Linked DNA regions of Diceros bicornis minor. The protein of the gene in region 1 interacts with the protein of each later gene in a pairwise test. Links are inferred from orthologs where the notes say so. Each region holds a gene or a part of one and is shown on either strand. Other genes may lie near its edges.

The links.
Region 2: the proteins of SH3GL2 (region 1) and EGFL6 interact in a two-hybrid assay, tested with the Homo sapiens proteins (2 studies listed by BioGRID and IntAct). The link is inferred for Diceros bicornis minor from reciprocal best matches to the Homo sapiens genes SH3GL2 and EGFL6.

Annotation. Positions count from the first base shown.
Region 1 is NC_080761.1:40,042,959-40,050,916, forward strand, and holds the start of SH3GL2 (endophilin-A1), read left to right. Parts: upstream 1-4,916; 5' UTR 4,917-5,143; coding exon 5,144-5,188; intron 5,189-7,958. UniProt on the Homo sapiens protein: Implicated in synaptic vesicle endocytosis. May recruit other proteins to membranes with high curvature. Required for BDNF-dependent dendrite outgrowth.
Region 2 is NC_080781.1:10,980,612-10,988,350, forward strand, and holds the start of EGFL6 (epidermal growth factor-like protein 6), read left to right. Parts: upstream 1-4,574; 5' UTR 4,575-4,733; coding exon 4,734-4,807; intron 4,808-7,739.

The DNA.
Region 1 (7,958 bases):
TCCCCCCCACCCCCCACGCCCCTTGATTGAGTTAATAGAGTTTAGTGAAATGAAGAGGAAGTTTTTACAGGGAGAGGCCCCTGTGCTTTGGAGGGAGGAGGGCTATGTGGGACAGGAGGAAAGGTGAGGTGGGGAGAGAAAGACCCATAAATTCCCCCTTCAAGAGACAAAAAAGTGTGCTTCTCTGTGTATCTGTTGGAGGGTGGGTGGTAGGTGACAGACCTGGAAGAAAGGAAATGAAAGTGGCCTTTCTCTTGATTTCCCATCTCTAGGAAAGGGCTTGCGAGCCCTGCCCATGCAAAGTGGGGGCCCAGTGCTACTGGCAGCATCCAAAGGCACAAAATCTTATGTTGAGTGCTATTCACACCAGAATGACTGTCTGGGTCCTGCACATCCCATGCGTTACTACAAGGCTGTCTAGGGAAGGCTGGTGAACATCAGACCCAATGTGATGAGCATACTGCATCAGTGGCGGTGATAAATTGTTCCATCTTTCATTCATTCATTCCAATCTGTATTTATTAACACTGACTGGAGGCTCTGCCCTAAATTGAGGCTTAGAGGCTGGAGGAGAAAAAGTAACGATGAATAAGTCACTTCTTTTCATTGCTTCTGTTTTCTCATCTCTAAAATAACAAGTTGGGATTTAACGCCTTTGCTTTGCTATGTTTCTTGTGCTTAACGAGCTTACACAGAGAGTCAGTTTGCTCTTGTGTGGGCCTGAGGAGCAGTGTTGGGCTGAAGGGCAGAAAGATGAGAGCTGATGCTTGTCTTATGCCTCCTTGGAATGAGAGGCCCTCTGAAAGCACCAGGGATGTAGCAGCTCTGTGCAAACTAGAGGTCTGGTATTTGCCAGAAGCTTTGGCATAATGCAAGGAGAAATAGTGCATGACTGATGTGATGGAATTATTGCTGACGATGAATTTCCTGTCCAATTAGTGAGGTGAGGCTGTGTGGGGGTTTCACTTAATTGGAACGTTCCTGAGCAGACATAGGTTTATTTACCATTTTGCATTGATTTGATCTCAGGAGATGAGAGGACAGCATGTTGAATTACAACAACCTTTTATTAAACAAAGTTCTTTCTCATTGACCTTTGGTTCCCCTTTCCCTACATCATGCTTCTGCATTTCTCCATAGAGCCTGTGCTGCAGCTTCTGGGCAACCACAAGTCACTCATGTTTGAAATTTTTTCAACGTCTGGTGCATTTGTCCCCTTATGCTCAAGTTACGATGACTGTCTCTAAGAAGAGTTTCCCGAATTGCTAGCCTGGAAACTCCTTGGGGTTCAAGGTCCAGTCCACGTGGGATCTCCCCTTACCATCTCCCAACACATCCTATCAGGAGGCCTGCTGGTAGAAGGAGCCCAGCAAATCTCTTTCAAAACATCTCACAGGTCTTTACAGGTGTAAACTGTGGCTGCAGTAGAAATACTGGATTTACATGAAATCCAGGGGATATCTGGGGGAGTTAACTATGGTTTCAAAAGGATTTAAAGTCCTTTCTCTCAAGGTAGTTCCTGTGAAGTATAGCAGAATGAGCATCCTAAGTTGGTGGATGAAGAACCAGGGAAAGAGAGAGATTTTTGTTAAATTTGGGGTTCAGTTAAGTATTCACAGTTCTGAGGAGACTCTTCAGGTCCCCACTTCACACCTTTCACAGTTGAGACCAGAGCTCATGAATCCCAGGCCCTTCCGCTCTGTAGATTAACTGCTGTCTCTCAGCAGCTTCAACCAAGGCCCATCCTTCTGTGAAAATGTTCCGTTGTTCAGATCAGGGACCAGGTGGGAAAAACTACCTATAAAATACTTTTTCTATTATACAAGTAAAGGGAAAACATTTTAAAAATCAGGAGAATAGAGAAAAAATTTCACTCTTAATAGCTCTGCTCTAGCCCAGTGGTTCTCAAAGTGTGGTCCCCAGAGCAGAGCATTAGCATCCCCTGGGAACTTGTTAGAAATGCACATTATCAGGCCCCACCCTGACATAGTGAATTGGAAACAGGATGTGGCCCAGCAATTGGTGCTTTCACAAGTCCTCCAGGTGTTTCTGATGCACGCTAAGGTTTGAGAACTGCTCTAGCAGCACAACCATTATTAGCATTTAATGGTAATCTTTTCATGAGTATGTGTGTGTGTGTATGCAGGCTTCACCAAACTGTCCGAGTACAAGAGCAGCATTGTACACTGTTCAAGCACTGTAACACTGATACTGACCCTAGGTTCATTAGGCTCTCTGTGTAATAGAAATTGACAAGAGGCACATCCAAAGTCCCAGACAGGTTTTATTAGGGCTTATGCTCAAGCACGATGGAGACAGCACAGAAGAGGCTCTCTGGCTGGCTCCTGGAAGGGAGCCGTCCTGAGTTTTTTATGGGGTGAGGGGAGGAGACTGGTGGCAGGATTCTCCGCCTCCAGACGCGTTCTGCTTCCCTCTTCCTGTTGGTGTGGCTGTGCGTACCCCATAGGGGTTGTGGTCCCTGCACCTGCCCAGTAGGTCTATCACGGCGGTGTTGCTCACTACCGCCGACCCAGAAAGGTCTTATAGTGGTTATCTAGAGGCTTTGTGCGCATGCGGGAGTCGGTGTCGACCGCTTTGGGGGGAAGTTTGCGGTTGGAACGTTGCTTGTCTTGACTTCGAAAATAGCTGGGTTGGGAGGTGCTGAACATGATGGTTAAGGGACAGGGGCAGAATCCCATCCCTATTCTGTCTCAAAACTAATCCCCAAATCTCTCTAGCCTAGAGCCTCACCTACTCGTGCAGTGAGTCTTGCATAGTTTCCTAGTGTCAAGAATCTGGGAATCACTGTGGTGGGCCTTATAGATGTGAATAAATGTGCCCCAGGCATACCACCTCATGAGGCCTTTAACGCCTTGTCCTGGAGTCGTGGATCCGCAGCCCCAGCTGTCTATCGGCAGGACTTTTGTCTTTCCCTGTCTGATGTTTCTCTGAGACACAGATTGGCCCTTGCTCTGACATTTCTTTAGAATGCCTTATGGATCACTAGAGCTTACTGTTCACCCTCTCTTAGCTGTAAGAGGTCAGGGTATGGTCAATGCACGGAGCCACCATTCCCTCTGACCCTCAGGCCTGGGGACTGAGTCTGCCCAGTGCTTCAGTGAGGATGCACAAAAGAGAAGACACCTCCCCAAACTCCAGTAAGGCTTTTTGTAGGAAAAAAAGAGGCCACTTCATGGACATCTAATGACAAACAATAAAATACATGTGGGCCATGGCAGGAACTGGAAAATCTCCCTTTATCTTCTAAGAAACAGAAAAGCATTTTCTTTATGTGCCTCACTCAGGATAGACTAGTTTTGCCACAGTCACAACCCCAGATTTAGTGAATTAAAATTACTCAGGTTTATTTCTCACTCATGCTAAACGTCTGTTAAACATTAGGTGGGGACTTTGCCCCACTTCGTCCTGACTCTGGATTCTAGTTGACAGACCACAACTATCTAGAACATTGTTGCAGAGGGAAAAGAGAGCTTTACAGCATCTCAAACCAACAATTAAATTCTTTGCCAAGAAATGAGTCACTTTCGTTCCTAACCCACTGGTTAAAACTTGTCACAGTGCCCCACTTAACCACAAGGGGTTTGAAAGGTTCAGTTCTACCATGATCTGGAAGGTACATGAACACCTGTGGTGGCTATCACTTGGAGATTTGCTCCTTTTGTCTGCTTTTCTCTGCATAGGGGGTCATGGGTCCATGTGCTTTCACTGCTCCATTACCCACCACTACCTGCTTGACTCTGCCTTTATGTCTCTCAGTTCACATCATCAACAAGGACTAGGACTGGGAGATCAGCCGATGGACAGGTCTCCTTGTATCAGAGGTTCACCCTGGGCCCAAGCAGCCTGGCCACAATGTGGGGCTGGGGTCTGTGGTTCCTCCCAGGCAGCAGGGGTGTGGAGGAAGCTGCCATTCTGCCGCGTGGTTTCCTTATTCATCCTTGGCAGTGCCTCTCATCTTGGCTTCTGTCACTCTGGTTTCTCCTTATATCTTTGGTCCCTATGTGGGGACAGTGTTCAAGTTCTTTTCCACGTGCTCCTCCGTCCAAGAAAGACCAGAGGAAGTGGCTCATTTCCAGAACACAGGCGACATACTCTGCTCCCAATTCACCTAATTCCATCAGAATTTCCTTAGTTCAGCCATATATACTTTGTTACATATGTTGTATTTGTACAATTTAGTGTCATGCTTTCTTCACATTACATAATGCTTATTTTAGACTGAAAATCCTAAATCTGCTATCATAAGTGAACACCAAGTTCATATTCGGACTTTTCCATTTCTGTAAACAGAGGATTAAATGCTAGTACTGTCGTAATATCCCACTTCAATTCTATTTACCTGACCGGCTTCAAGGTTTTAAAAATATCTTTTCTTCTTCTTAAGTCGTTAAATTGTATCAGCCCAAAGGAAAAAAAAAAGGGAGAGAGAAAGCGTCGGTGGCTTCCCCCGACGTTAAGTAGGCTTAAGGGATATTGAAACCAGGGCAGAGCAATGTTTTCTGTGACCAATCAAGCGGGGGCAAGGCAGAGAAGGAGCAATGACTTATGCATTACCCCAGATAGAGCGCCACTCCTCCTTTACAGGCTGCAGGGAGGCCGGGCTCAAAGGGCAGGCGGGCCGGCTGCAGGCAGCGCCGCTGCGGCTACCTGGAAGCCGAGCGAGTCACCTGCGTCGCGCCGGTGCCTGGGCTGCCAAGCTGCAGCGACCGGTCCGCAGTCCGCGGGGGCACGAACGACACTCGGGGCGGGATAGCGCCCTCGGCCGTCTTAACCAGGCCGCCGGCCCGGGGGGTGGGGGTGGGGGTGGGGGGGGTGCCGCAGAGCTAGTCCGCGCGGCGGGCGCCGGCGCCCAGGTAGCGCGTGCCGCAGCACCTGCCCCGCCAACCCCGCGCCCGGGGCGGGGCCTCCCGCGTCCCCTTTAAGAGGCCGCCTCACCCGCCCCTGACGTCAGGGTGTCTCTCCGCACGAGCCCGCGTCCCGCGCCGCTCCGCGCCCCCGCGCCCACAGCCCCGGCGGCGGCACGACGAGCGGCGGCCCCGCGAGCGCGCCGCCCCGCCCCGCCCGGCCCGCCGCCGCCTCCTGCCCGCAGCCGCAGCCGCCCGCGCGCCTTCCCTCCCTCACCATGTCGGTGGCCGGGCTCAAGAAGCAGTTCCACAAAGCCACTCAGGTAAGGCGCGTGACAGGTGCGCCGCGGGGCGGTCCGGGGAGGAGCTGCGAGGGGCGCGCTGGGCGCTTGCAGCCGGCGGGGAGCCGGGGACCCCGGCCCGCGCCCAACGCGCCCCGGCCGCGCCCCGCATCGCCCGCCCCGCCCGCCGCCGCGGCCCGGGGCATCCCGGGGCTGGGAGCCTGCCCTCCGTCCCCGCCCCCGGCTGGTGCGGCGCTGCGGGCGCCCGCAGGTCCCGGCGTCCCGCCGCGGCGCCCCGCGCGCCGCCCCCGCACCGCCCAGCGCGGGCGCCACGGGGAGGGGACCGCGCCGCGCAGATGCCCGGGCGGCGCGGCGGGAGGTTATGTAAAGTCGCCGCTTCTCCGGTGACCTTGCGGTGTCGGAGCGCCCGGCTGTCCCGGGATGTGCTGGCACGAGGGTGGCCCGCACTGGGGGTGGCTGCGGAGATGCCCGCGGTCTGCGCGCTTCCCCTGTGGTCTCTGGATCCCTCTTTCCACCGCATCCTGTGGCTCCAGAGGAATGGGAATGGGGCGTCCTCCTGGGAAGCACATGCATTAACTTTTCCTTGGAGAACTCGGTGCTGAAACTCCTCTGAGGCAAACGCTTGACCAGCGCTTAAAAAATGTCCCGTTGGTTTTGCAGCCGTAACGTAACCAAATTGTTGAAGACTTAAAATCATCATATATTTTAACGTGTTATTTTTAGTGAGCCTTTTACTGCTTGATGTGTCCATCTTTCTCTATTGGGTTAGTAAGCTGCGATTATAATAAAACTTAATTCAGATTCTAATAATTTAAATCTCATTGGGCTTGGTTGAAGAACTTTATCTAGGGACACATAAGTGAATACTTATAATGTGACCTATTTCTTATGTAATGAGTATGGTTACTATTTTTTTATCCTTCTGAAACAGTTCTAGTTTAAGGGATCTTTACCTAAGGACTTTGTTGATTTCTTTAAATATTTATCATAATTTAGCCTTAAATATTTTTTCATAGATTAGCCTTAATTAATACTGAGCTTTCTTATAATTTCTCAGAAGTGGTAAGGTTTTTCCCAGGCTACCACAATAGCAGTTCTGTTATAAACCACATCCAGAAAATGTGGTGTTACAGAATCTTGGTTAAGTTAGGGTGACAGATGCAGCATGAAATTCATCTTGTGTGTCCCTACATGCCATCTCCCTCACCACAGACTTGCCTTTATAGAATCAATTATATCTGTCAGTTTGGGAAATCAAGAAAACTAAGACGATTTCAGTTAAAAAATGCCTGCTAATATAATTATTTTTGCTTTTCAGATTGGATCTGTCTAAGACTTCTCTGCCAGAAGTGTTTGTACATATAAGTGCATTTTTGGTGTAATTTGGAAGGCCTCTAATGACTTGATACTTCAAATTCTGTCAGGTTTACAGAACCAGCGCATGTGCTGCCCGTAAATTCTCAGGCAGGTCTTCTATCTTTTTTTTATTTCGGATACTTTTCACTTCTCTAAAGTAGACCTCAGCACTGAATTTAATACCACCACATCCTTCTTTCACTTTGATTCTGACGACTTCCTTTGCAAATCTTGGTGCCATAAGAGGTGTTTAGGAACGTAATTGGAATGGGCAAGGCTAAAGCTTGACCCACCTCTGTGTCTATGACTTTGAGCAAGTTACTTAACTTTTGAATCTGTCTTTGCTAAACTGAGAAGAATATCCATTTCTTAGAATTGATGTGAGGATAAATGAGTTTGTAGAACATACATGAAAAGTGGTCAATAAATGGTGTTAACGTTAAGGATAATTTTGTTAGTATAAAATACTCTTCCTTGTGTTAGTAATAATGAGACAGGAAGAAATTATAGAAGCTAGAATTTTAGCTTTGCTATCTTACTAAATCCAGATGCAGAATTACTGCGTCATTTTCTTCTTTTTACTGAAAAGCCTTTTATTTTCAAGGTAAACTAACACTCAATCTGTTCTTATCCATAACTTAATATAGCACAATCTTAGAAGGCCCAAGGCAGAGGTTATTCTGCCTGTGCATGTATGAGTATTTTGAAGGGCGTGTAAAGCCAGTGCTACTGTTTGCATGTGACAGAGATTTAGGGGAAAAAGCCGTGTCTTACTTTTTAAGCCATTTTTCCCGTATACCTCCATGAACCTGATCTTATCTGCAGAGGAAGCTTTAGACCTGGAATTATTTTCTTTTGAGAATGGATATGCTAGATTAGATAGCCTGTGTTTATAAGTGGAAGGCCTCTCCTCAAGCAAACATTTCTCTTGTCTCTATGAAATTGAGTTTTTTGCTTATATTAGTGAGGGGTGATATTTATATTAATAAAGCAGTATACCTTTAGTGTTTACCCACTGATTTGAAATCTCTGATTAGATGTGTCAACTGTTCTCTTGGTTTAGAACTGATTATTTCTACCTTGTTGCTGACAGTTATTTTCAATATCTGCTATTTGGAGGTTTAAAAAGATGCTTTGCCAAATAAATTTTGTTAGAGGGGAAAATCCTTTCAGCTTGAGAATATATTAAAATAGCAAAAATTGATCATCTTTTTACTTTAATATACTTTATTACTTAATTGCTCATAAAGATAAAATGTACCATGCATTTAGAATAAATAAGATACTTTTTTTTTTACTGTAAAATAGGGCAAACGAGCATTATTAGTCTTCTTTTAGTGCATTTTATTCATATTGAGATTTCATTTTGGCAAGAGTAATTTCAATTTTTTTCACTTGTTGGTTTAAACTGGCAGCAGATTAGGTAAAAATAGCT
Region 2 (7,739 bases), on another chromosome or scaffold:
TCTTCCTTCCTTATTTCCACAGCACCCTGAAGTACTTCTGTTAACACTCACACCATTAACTCTAATAATATATTCACATTTCTGTCACCCAGGGCAAGGGATTATGACTTTATTCATCTTTATATCCCAACCAAACACAGGGTTCAGCACATGATTGGCTGGACCAAATTTGTGTTAAAGGAACAAATAAGTCTGTAAACCATATATGAGAACTTTTTAAAAATAGGGAGGTATATATGTAAAAAAAAAAAAAAAACACTTTGTCTTAGCAAATTTTGTTACTTTTATTCTTAAAAAAGGGGATCACAAATGTAGTCCCAATTTTACAGTCCACAGAACATTTCTCAACCAGACTTGCCCAAATCAAGTTGGAGTGACTTTGAGTAAGAGTCTTTACTTTTAAGGCCTATCTAAACTGAGTCATTACTACACTCAGTCGTGAACAGGAAAATATCAGAGTATTTACACATGGAACAGGAAGGAAGTATACAGGATGGACGCAAGCGATACCTCCCCCCAGTAAAGACAAAAAGAAAAGCCCCTCTTGATTAAGTGCCTTCAGTGGGAAACTTATGAATTTGGTAAAAGTCAGGGAAGCTAACATGCAGAAAATGAGATTTCATTTACGGGCAAGGGGACTTTTCTATCTAGTAGTGACATTTAAAGGGTCATAGACTCCCTTAAATATCAGATGAAAGCCATGTTGCTCCTCACCAGAACATACTCCCCTACATATAAAATAAATACTCTCTATAAAATGTCTAGCATGAAATAATAACTCCACAAATATCAATTTCTTTCTCTTCCTCAATTTTCAAGTGGATAGTTCTAAGAGCTGGCAAAATTTGGGGGGAAAATAAATCAAGGTGTCATTTTTTTCTCTTTTAATCTCACGTTGGTGACTGTCCCCAAGAGGTGAGACTCGTTATGTGGAAGAAGACCAGATGTTCTAAGAAGCACGTGTTAGTCGTCCAGCCCAGGTGACCAGGGAGGAAAAACCAGGAACTGTCTGGTGGACACATTTCCACCAAGCAGTCCCCACTGTCTAGCACAGGGCCTAGCACTTGTAGGTTCCAGATAAATGTTTGAGCAAGGAATGTTTGAGCATTCCAGATAAATGTTTGGGAAGGATAGAGAGAGGGAAGGACAGAGAAAGGGGAGAAAAAGGAAGGGAAGGAAGATTGGAAGTGGTTGGGATTTTTCTTCTACCATAGAGCTTCAAGAACAGAGTCCTTGCCAGGCACAGAATGAAGGAAAACAGTTTATACCTCAAGACACACCTTCCCATACAGAATTTAGCAGTATCTGCACTGAGAGTCTTAAACTTCTTTGTTGACTCCTTTCCTGGAACAAAAAGAAATGGAAAGAAACAGACTGGGAAAACACATCAATTTCTAGAACATGTCACTGGGCTACAATTAACATAGAAGATTAAGAAGAGGCGCCATTTTCTTCTTTGGTAGGAATGGTGATCAGAAAGTTTGAAGCGGAGGACCATGTGGCGGAAACACAGAGACATGAACTCATCCTGTGTGTGGCCTCAGGCAAGGCCCTTCACACGCTGAAGCTGAGTTTTTCCATCTGTAAGATGTCGAAGTTGGTCCAGATCAATGGTTTTCAATCTTGGTTCTCCATTAGGACCACCTGGGGAGTTTCTAAATGTCCCCATGCCCAAGCCATGGCCCAGACTTTAGAATCTCTTGAGGTGGGGCCCAGGCGTCAGTAGTTTCAAAGCTTCCTGGGTAATCTCAGTGTGCGGCTGAACTTGAGAACTACTGGTCCAGGTGATCTCTAGACCCTCACTACCCTAAGTGGTTCTCAGACAAGCAGCCTGGGCATCACCTAGGGTCTTTTTAGTAATCAAGACTCAGGCCTCACTCCAGAGCTACACAATTAGAATCTGCATTTTTACAAGAAAGTAATTTGTACTGACATTAAGGTCCGAAAACTCTGCCCTAGATACTCTTCCACCGAGCTCTTGCATCTGACAGTGCTTTGCTTCTGGTAGTGATATTTCAATATAATTTTTAGATCTCAGCACCAGGACCATCATAAGTGTTAAAAGTTCTACATGTATGTTACGTGTATACATTGAGAAAGCACAAAAATATCCCATCACACCTGTTCCATGCAGGGGGCTAAGTGGAAATAGATTGAAAAAAAAAATGTAGACTGTAAAAGGTGCAGAGGATTTTATGGGATTCTCATCAAAGATGGTTTTTCCTTTGTAGAATGGAGTAGGGTCCTCTAAAGAGCAGTTCTCTTCAAAGTCAGCATTGCCCTTGTGGTTATTAAAAACACCTGCCTCTACATGGCAATTTGTATCCATCTTCTCACCAGGCAACGCATCACTTCCAGGTTCCTTCTCTGTTCTTCTTACTACCTGACTGGCGCCTTTGTCTCCAGGCCTGTCCCGCCTCGCCCTGCCCTGCCCCAGGAAATAGGAGCACTTCAACAGTCAGCATCTATGGGATTTTCTCTGCCCTCAGCACAGCAGGTGGAAATCCCAGGATCGGCACCCTGGTAGAAGCCTTCAGGCGATGACTGAATGGAGATGGTGTCTAAATACTCCAGCTCCCTCGCCTTTAGGCGAGCTCACGTGGAGATGTATGTTCTAGGCTGGCTCTGGGAGATGCCCAGTGGCATGAAGTTCCTGTTGCCCCCAGTGATGACTTGATACACACCTACCTACCATAGTTTTCCTCCCAGATTGACTCCCTCACTCCCCGGCCAGTGTTCTCTGCACCTCCAGAATAAACTACTTCCACTCGAATCCTTGCCTTAGGGTCTGCTTGTGGGGAAACCCACACCCAGCCAAATTTTATATTCCACTTGCTTTAAGATATTTGCAGGTATATAGTTCATACTTTATATTGTTTTCTTTCAATTTTAATATTTTTGGTAAATAAAACCAGTTACAGTATGAAGAGTTGAAAGGGTTTTGGTCATAGCCTTGAAGAGATCATCTTATTACCCTATTCATGAGACTCATTTGACACTTGAAGTCACAAAAGAGTAAGAAGATGAGAAAAGGGATTTATATCACAGCAGCAGGGCCCTGGTTTCCAATCCTGGTTCTACACTTGATAGCTGTATGACCTTGGGCAAGCTACTTAATCTCTCTCTCAGTTTCTTGTTACTTCAAACTTGGGGGAACTAATGATCCTTACTTATAGAAGTGTGGGTGTTCAGTAAAGATGATGCATGTCAAGTGTTGAGGACAATGCCTGTTACTGTCAGCTATGAACAGCTCAAGGCCTAACTGGTTACTAACCAGGGATATTGAATCCATTAGAATGCCTTCAACCATAAAACAGAAGATCCAACTCAACATGGCTTACACCAATAGGGACCTCTATGGTGTAAATCAAGAATCTGCCCCAAAAATATTCCCCACCCCCACTTCTCACATTTCATTGGCTAGAATTAAGGCATATACCCATTATATAACCATGAATCAAGCTTATAATCAAGACAAACCTCCTCTTTCTCCATATTCTTCATTTTATTTCCAACACCAGGGCACAGGTGTGTCAGAGAGCTATTGCTGTGTAACAAATTATCACCATAAGCCTTGGTAGCTTGGCTGGCCCTGCTGCCCTTGGCTGAGCTCATTCTCGTATCTGTGAGTTGGCTGATAGACACCAGGCTTGACCCAGTAGTTCTGCTTCAAGCTATAGGTCTGCAAATTGACCAGGTAGCTCTGTTCCACCTGTTCCTCAATCTCCTTAGGCCACGAGGCTAGCTTGTGGGCGTGGTCTTCTCATCTCCGTGATAGAGATCTGGTGTCTTACCGCCTAGATTTGGAACTGACCGTTATGCCATTGCTCAAAGCAAGTCACACAGCCAAGTCCAAAGCCAAAGTGTGGGGCCATAGGCTCCGCCCACCGTGAAGCCAAAGAGTGTGGATGCAGGGAGGGGTGAGGGAAGGACCAATCATTCATTCTATAACAAGTCGTCAGAGCTAAGGTAAATACTCAAGTGAATTCTCTGAAATCATATAGCATTCGTGTTTCTGCCATTAATTTCTGCACTGGTTAGTACATTACAATATCATCTAGTGGTCCCATGTAAGTCAGCTGTTGCAAATGAGCACGGGCGATCACTTGTCAAAGGAAGGGGTTGCACAGGACTTGGTGACCTTCCACCTCTAGCAGCCCATGATTTGCAGTTTGTGGAAGAAAGCCTGGCAGAGTATGAAAACCTAAACAAAAGTAAGATAGAAGTGTCATTCTGAACCAGCATCCTTGGTTCCTGCTTTGACTTAACTAAATTCTTAAACCCTCGGGCGCAGGTATCACCGAAACCTGTCCCATGTCTGAAAGAGATGGCGATACGTGGTGACTCCGACAAGAGTGAAGCGAACTGAGTCTGGGGGAAGTTGCTCGGTGAACAGAGAGCGCGGAGGATGCGCGGGTCGTGCTGTAGGCGGGTCCCAGGCAGATGTGCAGGGCCCGCTCCGCCCTCTTCGCGCACCGGGCCGCGCTTCACCCGTGGAGGACCCGCCGCGCGCCTAGCCAGGGCGCCCCCACCTCTCTCGAGGCCGCGAGCGCCCCCTCCGCAGTGCCCGGCACCCGCTCCCGCGGGGACCGCGCCTGTGAGGAGCAGGGACCCGGAGCGGCAGAGAACAGAGGCGGCGGCCCCGCTGTGCCCTGGGTCCCGCGCCCGCGCCCTCCCGAGGGGGCGCAGGAGGAGGAACGGGAGGCGTTGGCAGAGGGAGGACCCGCGCGAAGATGCCGCTGTCCTGGGCCCTTGCGCTCCCGCTGCTTCTCCCCTGGGTGGCAGGTGGATTAGGGAACGCGGCCAGGTGAGTGTCTGGCTGGCGATCGGCCCCCCGTCTGAGCTCCCCCATGAGGCCCCTTCTCTTTGTCCCCCGTCCCTCTAGGCACCCCCGCGAGTGTGTGAGCGGGTGTGTGTGCAAGTGTCTCTGTGCGCGCTGAGACGGGATTTCACAAGGACGTCAGGCCCGAGTGCCCACGGGCTTTCCTCCCCTCGCCCCTTTGGCGGGGCTTTGCACCAGTTCCCTCTGCATCAGCTGCGCCCCACCTGGCAGCGTCCTGCGGGTTCCGGGAGGAAGGAGGCTCTGCGCGCCGGCCCGTGGGTGCGCTCTGGCTTGGTGGTCTGCAGACATCTACTGTGGGGGCGCGTGTGTGAATGTCTGTATGTGTGTAGGTGGGTGGGTTCTGTGCCTGTCCAGTTTTGTGTTTTCCGCTCTATCCGGAGGGCGCCAACTGATTGTCAGCCGCTAGTTTTGCTGGGGAAGGAGGGAAAGAAACTGAGCAAGACAGAGTAAGCGTTGACTGTGCTTGGGCTGAGCCCGCCGTGAAGGGGCTTCCTCTACTCAATGCCCTTCTGATTAAGGTTGATGAACTGGAAAGAAGGGACGCGGTTGTCAGATGAAATCGACTTATTCTTCTTGCTATGGCATTTCAGAATCTGAGGCCATTTCATTACTGCCCCTAAGCTTTTCTAAGCCCTGAAACTGATTTTTCCAGAGATCAGCAAAGCCACTGAGTAAATACATACTTATGTAGTGCTTACTGTAGGCCTGGTGCTCTTCTGAACACTTGAAGACTATTCACCCATTTAAAGCCCATAACTGCTTTGTGTGGAAGGTACTATTATTATCATCACCATGTTGTAGAGGAGAAAAATGAGGCACAGAGAGGGCAACTAACTTGCCCAAGGAGGCACAGCCAGTAAGTGATGGAGCCGGCGTTCAAACCCAGGCAGTCTGGCCCAGAGTCCTTGCTCTTCACCGGTGCACCAGGGCAGCCTTTGGGGAGTTACTCACTGGAAAAGGTTTCCTGGTTCTCTGGCTGTGATGCCTTGCTTTCTGAGGTGTCCACTAGAGCAGGGTTTCTCCACTGAGGCACTATTGACCTTTGGGGCTGGGCTGGACAATTATTCGTTCCGGGGTGGAGAGAGTGGACCTGTGAATTGTAGGATTTTTAGCTGCGTCTGTGGCCTCTACCCACTAGATGCCTGTAGCAACTTCCCCAAGTTGTGACAACCAAAAAATGTCTCTGGACGTTACCCAAGGTCCCCGGGTGGGGGGGGGGGGCAGAATCACCTCCAGCTGAGTGAGACTGCACTATGGAGACTTTTTGGTCAACAATTCCTGGGGAGAGCAGGCTGAGAGCCTTGGTTTGGTACAGGCTTCTTAAAGGTGAGCCCGACTATCTTTGTCTGACTTACAGGAAAAAAATCTTTCATCAGTCAGCCACAGTATTAAGGGATTTTGAAGTTCAAACAGAACAAACCTCAAACCAGGTTCTTAGAATGTCTGATCACAAGTTTAATTTCCTTTTCATGATAAAAATGTAAGCAGATGCAATTTGCTCCTAATCACATTTTCCTTGAATGTTGGAGGTTCTCGTATTGTTAGAAAGCCTGCTGAAGAAAGACCAAGCACTATTTGGATATGAGATTAATAGCTCTTTAGCAGCCGGCAAACTGACCTCCAGGAGCTTCACTTTCAAAGTGCTACCAAATTAAATTAAAAGCCGAAAAGCCCCCAAATAAACCAAAGAATATTAAAATGGAGAATCCATGTCAAGATTCTGCAATTCTGCAGTTCTCAAATGTGAAACGTGGTTTCTTTACACGGTATCAGGTTCACGAGCTGGTATGTTTATTATCTGCTCAACATGCTTGGAAGTGGCAAGTGGTCAGCGCTTCGGGAACTGCCAGGAACCATGGTAGTCAACTCCAGCCTCCAAGTTACGGGCGACACATGTACAGAAAAGGCAAAACAGTGTGTTGCACTTTTGCACATTGCAGAAAAGTATGTCTACTGTTTATTTCCTGAGGTTTCACAACTTACAGTAAACATGGTGACTGCTATATAGAGATTCTAATACAAGCACCAGATTTTTTTTATTTGAAACACTACACCATAGTTTTAGTGACCTAGAAAATTATACGCCTCTTAAATGGTACTTAGTAGACAATTAACACTCATCAAATGAATAAATCATTAGCAGCATGTGTTTCGCTGATCGAAAGCATCAGAATTTGGCTTGAAACCTAGACGTTTTTATGCCCTTTGGGCATTGGGACTCTTTAGATACTCTCGACCTACTTTGTCCAATATAGTAAATACGGTAGTCACTAGCCCCATGTGCCTATTGAGGACCTGAAATGTGGCCAATCCAAGTTGAGATGTTGCAGTTAGTATAAAATACACATCAGCTTTTGAAGACTTTGTATGGAAAAAAAGAACGTCAAATATTGCACTAATCATTTTACATTGATTACATGTTGCAGTGATAATGCTGTTGATATTAGATAAAGTATATTACTAAAGTTAATTTCACCTGTTTCATATTTATGTAAATGTGGCTACTAGAAAATTTTAAATGCCACATGTGGCTATTATATTTCTATTGGACAGTTCTGGTCTAGAACATTTATTGATCTGAACTCCATCTCCAGTGTTCCAGGTTCTAACTCTGGCATCTTTTTGACTTGGGCACATAAGATAAATGCGTTATTAACTTTGCTATGCTTGAGATTCAAGTTTGGAGCAACTCCCTACTTAAATTTTTTAGAAATTTTTTCTCTATTGAATTCAAGTAAAAGTAATGTGAGAGGTGAAGGAATAACTGGGTTTGTGCTGGGGGTCCACACTCATGGAGAGAGGCTTGCTTTCTGCCAGCCACACCCTACTTCGAGAATTGATTCTTCTCAGAGCCCTGTTAGGGAAGTGCCATTGTAACAATTTACCACAAACTTAG